Canis lupus familiaris: one gene and its partner. The main gene of each other region encodes a partner of the protein of the gene in region 2 in a complex. Links are inferred from orthologs where the notes say so. Each region holds a gene or a part of one and is shown on either strand. Other genes may lie near its edges.

Region 1 (3,649 bases), on a different chromosome or scaffold from region 2:
TCCTCTCCTTTGCCCCTCCCCACTGCTTGTATGAGAATGCATAAATAAATAAATAATAAAATAATAAAATAAAATAAAATAAAATAAAATAAAATAAAATAAAATAAAATAAAATAAAATCCTTTAAAAAAATAAAACAGGGATGCCTGGGTGGCTCGATCCTGGAGTCCCGGGATGGAGTCCCATATCAGGCCCCTTGCATGCAGCCTGCTTCTCCTGTCTCTGTCTCTCTCTCTGCCTCTCTCTGTGTCTCTCATGAATAAGTAAATAAAATCTTAAAAAAAAATTAAAAATAAAACAAAGTTGTTTTTTTTTTAAGATTTATTTATTTATTATTTATGATAGACATAGAGAGAGAGAGGCAGAGACACAGGAGGAGGGAGAAGCAGGCTCCATGCTGGGAGCCCAACGTGGGACTCGATCCCGGGACTGTAGGATCGCGCCCTGGGCCAAAGGCAGGCGCTAAACCACTGAGCCACCCAGGGATCTCCCTAAAACAAAGTTTAGAAGTGAGCAACAAATCATTTTAAAAGGTTTTCAGGGATCCCTGGGTGGTGCAGCGGTTTAACGCCTGCCTTTGGCCCAGGGCGCGATCCTGGAGACCCGGGATCGAATCCCACGTCGGGCTTCCGGTGCATGGAGCCTGCTTCTCCCTCTGCCTGTGTCTCTGCCTCTCTCTCTCTCTCTCTCTGTGTGACTATCATAAATAAATAAAAATTAAAAAAAAAAAAGGTTTTCAAAATCTGATGCTGTATGAGGCGCCTGGATGGCTCAGTTGGTTAAGTGTCTGCTTTGGCTCAGGTCATGATCCCAAGGTCCTAGGATCGAGCCCCACATTGTACTCTCTGCTCAGCAGGCAGGTTGCTTCTCCCTCTCCTTCTGCCTGCCACTCCCCCTGCTTGTGTGCTCTCTTTCTGTCAAGTAAGTTAAAAAAAAAATCAGATACTATAAGCATATGCTATGGTATAGAGAAAGTAACACACACCTGAGTTCAAATTTTTCAATAGCTGTATGATATCTGGCAACTTACTAACCTCAGAGTACTTATTTAACAAGATTACATAATAGAACAAAAGAATGCCTAGCAAGAGCCAACACCTAATAAGTACTAAGTTTCCATTTACACTTACCCAAAGGAAGGCAGGACTCTTCGGGGCTGATCTCGGGTTACTGTCACTCTGATCTTTGGATAGTCACTTATTCCATTAGGGGATTTATTACCTATTTTAAAAATGCATTTGTAATTGTAAAAAAACAAAACAAAAACAAACCCAAACCTGTGAACAGTCTGCATTAGAAAATCTGTGAGTGGTCTATATTGTAGAACTAAATATCTTATTCTTTCACATGCCATTACTATACAACACAGAGATTCAACACTGTAAAAAGTTGAAGAAAAGCAATAGTGCTTTATCTGTATTTGATTTCAGGGAGACAGTAAAAATTCACAGGCAAGCTTTTCTAGTTTCACTTGCTGTAGCATCAAGAAGCATGAGGAACTCATGATTACAAACTCCATGTAATCAAATCAAATTGAGTGAGTTGTTCAAATCATTTCTTCTTCCCAAGAAAACAGGAGTTATTTTTAAATGAAAATCTGCTATATGTTACTACATTTCACTGGAAGCTTCCATCACTTATGAGACGGTCACTATACTTCAAAAAAGGGTAACCAAACTTTTATCAGCCACATTTACTGCTAGAGCTACTGCACAGGTATAGAGCTCCTGAGGACTCCAAAATGTAAAGAGATCTAAAACTGAAAGTTTTTCCATGAGTCTGTAGCAGCAAACTTAAACTGACCTGAATTCCTTTGTTTGCAAAACCTGATTTGAACCAATGTTCAATTCTAATGGGATTTTTAAAAATAATATTCAATAAACACGATATATATAAAATATGAAAAATTCTAAATTCCCCAGTACACCTTTAAGGATTTCAGATAAGAGACTGTAGACTTCTTTATGCAAGAAACGTGCCCCAGGAATACCTGTGCTTCTCTGACAAGGCTACATGAACACATAGAAATATAGTGCTGACAGCTTGGCACAAGACAAACGTACCATCCCTTCCATATGTCCATTTTAATAATAAATCATTTTTAACTATATATTCAAGCAATATGAATAGATTATAATATCTAATTTATATTAACTTTTAAAATAAAATGAAAAACTTCATAAAAGTATCATCCTGACTCCAGGTCCTTTGGAACTAGAGTCTCAGACTCAGGGGTGTGTGTTTACTCCCTTTTGCTCTTCTCTGCCACCAGAGATACTTTACTTAAAAAGCTTGAGAGGAAACTTACTACTGTAAAGTTTTTATCATTTCCTTAGTTTCTTCCATTTTTACTTCTGAACCCACAACTTTTCTAAAAGCTTTTATCCCTTTCTCTCAAACTTCATAAACCTGTGTGACAGAGATCACAGTCATTTTCTGGAGTCCAGATTCTTCCTCTTTTTCGCCATGATAGAATTTTAAGTTATGTATGGTTATGTACAATTATAATTCAGTTTTGGGCTCCAAGAATGACGTGGAGGCTCCCAATCCATAAAGCTATCAGAACTGAAAACCTAAAGTTGTTCCCCCATCAGATGATGTCCCTGAAAGACAGGGTTTATTTATTTTGTTATTTGTTTTGTATTTTGTTATAAAAGATTTTATTTATTATTTTGTCATTCTGTTATTCTTGATAACACATGCCTGACACAGAGTAAGCTCGCAGGAAATGTTTTTTTAATGAGTGAACCCTGAACTAAGTCACATTAAAGACAATGATAATACAAATAGAAAACACAAACAGTAAATTCAATGACAATTCTAAAGGAAAACTATTTAATTTTTAGAAGGTAGAGAGAATATGTCTGTGTTCTCAACACAACCCAAATGAGTGTTTTTCTTTCATATTCTCAAAACTCAGGAAACAGAGGCAAGAAGAGGTAGAGGAAAGCAGAAGGATCTCTGATCGCCTCACCCAGTTTCAGCATGTTGTTCCAGGGTCCAGAACCTGTCAGTTCACAAGACGATGAGTTCGAAAATACCTTAAAACCAAATAGAATCACCTCTGTAGTATCTCAATTTTAGAATTTAAATAAGTTTTTAATATTAAAAAAATCACTCTATTGGTGATGATTTCGCTAGCTCATGGAAGAGACATCATCAGTAGACCAAAAGTTAAATTGGTGAAGACTCACAAAATTATGTTTAAAATAACAATTTCAGGTTCTCTACAAATACTTAAGTAAGAACAGATGTATTACTAATTGAGCTCTTTATAAATATTTTTTAAATGTGTATTTTCTTAACCTTTAACTTCTTGGCCTTTATATCAAGGCTTATAAACATATCAAAGTCATTCTACTCAATTCCTAAAAAGAGAATATTTCTAAAATTTCACTTTAATGATTAAGTATGAAGATCAGTAGCCCCAATGGAACCCTATCCCCACTGACCTCTCCTGAAGGGGCCACATTCCGTGTTCCATTACAAGCAGAGGTTACCATGGGCTTTGTGGTCAGCTGGAATGGGAATCCAAATAAGCTGGCAGCATTGTAGAGACTGGTTTTGACTTGGTGAATGAAATAATCTAGACAATATAATATAGATTACATTTACATACGTATATAGAGTAATAAACTTCTAGCAAAAA
Region 2 (4,196 bases):
GAGAGAGAGAGAGGCAGAGACAAGGCAAAGGGATAAACAGGCTCCATGCAGGGAGCCCAATGTGGGACTTGATCCTGGGACCCCAGGATCATGCCCTGGGCTGAAGGCAGTGCTAAACCCCCTGAGCCACCCTGGCTGCCCTGTTTGTTTGTTTTTAACCTAGGTACTATGCCCATCCTGGAGCCCAGCATGGGGCTTGAACTTATGACCCTGATATCAAGTCCAGAGCTGAGATCAATAGTTGAACACTTAACCAACTGAGCCATCAGGTGCCCCTCTAACCAATCTGTTTTATTTTTATTTTTATTTTTATTTATTTATTTATTTTTGGACCAATCTGTTTTAAATCGCAACCCCCTCGGGGCACCTGAGTGGCTCAGTGGTTGAGCGTCTGCCTTTGGCTCAGGGCGTGATGCCAGGATCCCAACGTCCTGGGATCGAGTCCCACATCAGGCTTCCCACAGGGAGCCTGCTTCTCCCTCTGCCTACGTCTCTGCCTCTCTTTCTATGTCTCTCATGAATAAATAAAATCTTTATAAATAAATAAATCGCAACCCCCTTAAAACTCCTTACCCCCTTCTCCGTTTGTTTTTCTTATCACTTACACAAATAAGATTCCACATGTCTTATTTAGAACACATGTTTTAAGAGGTGCCCAGCTAGCTCATTTGGTAGAACATGTGACTCGATCTCAGAGTTGTGGGTTTGTGACCCATGTTGGGCATAGAGATTACTTAAAAAAATAAAATCTTAAAAAATAAATAAAAATAAAATCTTATAAAAAAGAGAGAGGGCAGTATTTTTGCTTCATTCACTGCTTGGTTCTGGTATCTAGAGCAACGTCCAGAACATAGTAATACCCAATAAATGTTTATTGAATGAATGAGTGGTGCCTTCTTATCTAGGAGAATAATTCATACATATTTGTAAAAATTGGCAAGCCAGGGTGATCAGGGTTAAGATAAGGAGAAGGAGGTGGGAGGCTGGCTATAGGAGCCCAGAGGAAGCCTGGGGGGAGTTGGAGGATTGGGGAGCCATCACAGTTGTATCTTGAGGACGAATAGATTGGGGAAGGACATGTTCTGGGTAAGGAGTTTTTGTGGGCCCTTCCTCGTTCTGTCTTCCATATCCATCATCCTTGGTCTCCCCTGATGACCTGCCATTTCCTCTTTAGGGAAATGGAGTGGTCTTTCTGCCAATCTGCCGAGTTCTTCCAGGCCAGAAGCTCCTTTCTTCAGCAGCTCTGCCCTTGGTCTATTGTGATGGTGGCTGTTGTGATGTAGAGACCTCTGGTCTCCTAGGAACCCCTGAGGTTTGGCCACCATGGATTGCCCAGTCTTCTGGCTAAGGTTGAAACCAGACGGGCAGTGGGCTGACACCTGTGCCCCATCCCCAGAGACATGCCAGCGTGGGAGGTGGGGCATTTCGCGGGATGGATAACCTGGATCCCTTAGCCATCCTAGTCCTGTTTGAGGAATGGGACCCTCAAACAGAGAGCAGCCAGGATGATCAGGCAGGTGTGTGCCTGGAGTAGGCTCTTTGCATTGCAGCTGTTGGTCTGGGCCCAACTACCATTCACTGGGAGCCCAGAAGATGGGCAGCTCAGATGGCTGTGCTTGGTGTTCCAGCTGGGGCCATTGGGGCAGGCGAGGAGTTAAAATAAGCTAGTAATCCTTCAGGGGCTAAAACATGATTTTACTACTCTTGCCACTTTCTCCACCTTTCTAGAATTGTTCCTTACCTAATAGTGTTTTCATTTCTCCCAGTAGTTTAGCTGTTGGAGTCTCCATGGAGGAGGGGGTGTTAAGCCCCTGAAAGGGCTGATGTCCTACCCGGCCCTCCCCAACCAGGGGGCCCCAGGAGACTCCTGTCTCTTAATGAAACTTCATCCTGCTCAGTTTGCAGATTTCCGGGGGAGCCCAGCAACGTGGCCAGCATGGCCTCTGAAGACATTGCCAAGCTAGCAGAGACACTTGCCAAAACCCAGGTGGCTGGGGGTCAGCTGAGTTTCAAGGGCAAGAGCCTCAAACTCAACACTGCGGAAGATGGTGAGTTCCTGCTTGGGCTGGCCCAGGGGAGGAAAGAGTGTGTGCCAATGACTCTTGTTCCAGCTTGTTTAGCTACATTATCACGTTGTTTGTTACCTAGTAGCTCTGTGAGATAGTTTTGGGTCCCTTTTAGAGTGAGGCTCAAAGATGTGCCCACAAGGACATATATAGGCTTCCCTGCTAGTCATCATGTTTTTGGAGGCCATCCTTGCTGGTGACAGCTTAGGTTGGCTGGTGGAAAGGGCCACTTTATGTCTTAGTGGGAGGAGATAGTAAACAACAAAGGATCACAACAGCAGTGTCAGGGTATAGTCCCTGACTTCTTACTTCCCACCTTTACCACTATGATCCCAGACTGGTTTTGGGAATACTGGTTGGCTTTCCCAGAGGTAAGGCCCTCTTGGGAGGTCTGGTCCGTGCAACTGAATGCCCCTGGAAGAGGGAGGGATGTTCTTGTCCTAGGAACCAGGACTGTAGGGAATTAGGAAGCAGAATGCAGGCCTTGTCTGTTCATCCCTGGCCAAAGCATGGCTAACACTGGTCAACCCTGAATCCCCTGACGTTTGGAAGTGAAGGCACCTACGCCAGCACTTGCAAGGACTCTTGAGGTTCTGGCCCAACCAGGGAAACTGGTATGGACTTGCCCGGTTGTCATGGATTGCAGGCAAGCTTGCTCACCTGCCCTGCCTCAGAAACTGGAGTTCTCAGGTTGTCAGGAGCATGGCAGTGCACATTCCTGATGTCTCTGAAGGGCCTTAACATTTACAGAGTCCCTCCCTGTGCTGTTATCACTTCCGATCACACGTCATCCCTGAGGGGGGGATGTAGAAATGTTACCATTTTATAAATAAGGAGAAGAGATTTGGAAGACCTAACTTGTCCAAGGTCATCTAGCTGGTAAGTAGCAGAGCTGGGATTTTAACAGAGGTCCAGCTAAGTCCCTATTCTTGTGTTTGTCAGTAGACAGCTCAGTTCAGTAAAGATGAATTTGCTTTTTTTTTTTTAAGATTTAAAAAAAAAAAAAAATATTATGTATTCATGAGAGAGAGAGAGAGAGAGAGAGGGAGAGAGGCAGAGACACAGGAGGAGGGAGAAGCAGGCTCTATGCCGGGAGCCGATGTGGGACTTGATCCCAGGGCCCCAGGATCGCGCCCCGGGCCAAAGGCAGGCGTTAAACCGCTGAGCCACCCAGGGATCCCCCTTTTTTTAAGATTTTATTTATTCACGAGAGACAGAGAGGGAGAGGGAGAGGCAGAGACACAGGTAGAGGGAGAAGCAGGCTCCATGCAAGGAGCTCGATGCTTGATGGGACTCGATCCTGGGATTCCAGGATCATGCCCTGGGCCAAAGGCAGGTGCTAAACCGCTCAGCCACCCAGGGATCCCCTGAATTTGCTATTAAATTCCATTCCCTGAATGCTGAGTCAGGCATTCTTTAAGTGCCTGACTTAAGGAAGTTTATCCTCACAAAAGTCCTTGAGGTAGGTCTCATCCCCATTTTGTAGATTGGAAAAGTGAAGCCCTGGGAAATAATAGGACTTGCCTAAGGGCACAGATACAGGTAATGGAGCTAGGATTAGAGCTCAAGCTTGTCTAGCTTTAAAATCTGTGCAGATCACTAATTAACCAGCTCAGGCTGGACATGTTGCCTCCATTTTCTTGGTCACCAGGGATGCCCAGCTTATAGCCCCGGCCTCTGAGGACCTCCTAAGATGGAGTAGGAAGGAGGTACTCAACTGCCAGGGGGTAGAAGGTGAAGCATACTCTGAGCAACGTGAACAGAAAGCTGTGGGAAATACGGCAAGGGAAAGGGATCATTTCTGGTTTAGGAGGGCCCCGGAAGTCCCCATGGATAAGGTGGTTGAACTGTCATTGTAGGGGAGAGGGCAGTAGACGCAGGGAGTATCATGTGAGGGGAGGAGCTGAGACACATAGGGTGGGCTTGGGCGAGAAGGAATCAGGGTGCCATAGGGAGCCCAGTGCAGACAGCCTTGAATGTAGTGTGGAGGAGTCTGGCAGCTGGACCCTGGGCCCAGAAAGGGCCTCCACCTTGGCTGGCAGTGAGCTGGCATAGTCAGGAGAGGGCAAGGCCTGTATGAGGAAGCCATGATGCTTGGAACAAGGCTCTTCTCTCCCCAGTAAGTCATTT

What was found. The genes of interacting proteins can lie anywhere in the genome.
Region 1: the proteins of RANGAP1 (region 2) and SENP2 are in contact, whole or in part, in a crystal structure (PDB 2IO3), measured with the Homo sapiens proteins. The link is inferred for Canis lupus familiaris from reciprocal best matches to the Homo sapiens genes RANGAP1 and SENP2. Residues at the interface, in NP_001265580.1 of Homo sapiens: Glu467, Asn508, Thr511, Thr514, Arg515, Val518, His519, Leu523, Lys524, Ser525, Glu526, Asp527, Val529; in NP_067640.2 of Homo sapiens: Tyr408, His409, Trp410, Val477, His478, Asp495, Met497, Gly498, Gln499, Lys500, Pro536, His537, Gln541, Gln542, Asn544, Gly545.

What each region holds. Positions count from the first base shown.
Region 1 is NC_049255.1:18,502,521-18,506,169, reverse strand, and holds part of SENP2 (sentrin-specific protease 2), read right to left. Parts: intron 3,587-3,649; coding exon 3,453-3,586; intron 3,042-3,452; coding exon 2,975-3,041; intron 1,222-2,974; coding exon 1,131-1,221; intron 1-1,130. UniProt on the Homo sapiens protein: Protease that catalyzes two essential functions in the SUMO pathway.
Region 2 is NC_049231.1:24,911,637-24,915,832, forward strand, and holds the start of RANGAP1 (ran GTPase-activating protein 1), read left to right. Parts: upstream 1-1,322; 5' UTR 1,323-1,432; coding exon 1,433-1,517; intron 1,518-1,898; coding exon 1,899-2,048; intron 2,049-4,196. UniProt on the Homo sapiens protein: GTPase activator for RAN. Converts cytoplasmic GTP-bound RAN to GDP-bound RAN, which is essential for RAN-mediated nuclear import and export. Mediates dissociation of cargo from nuclear export complexes containing XPO1, RAN and RANBP2 after nuclear export.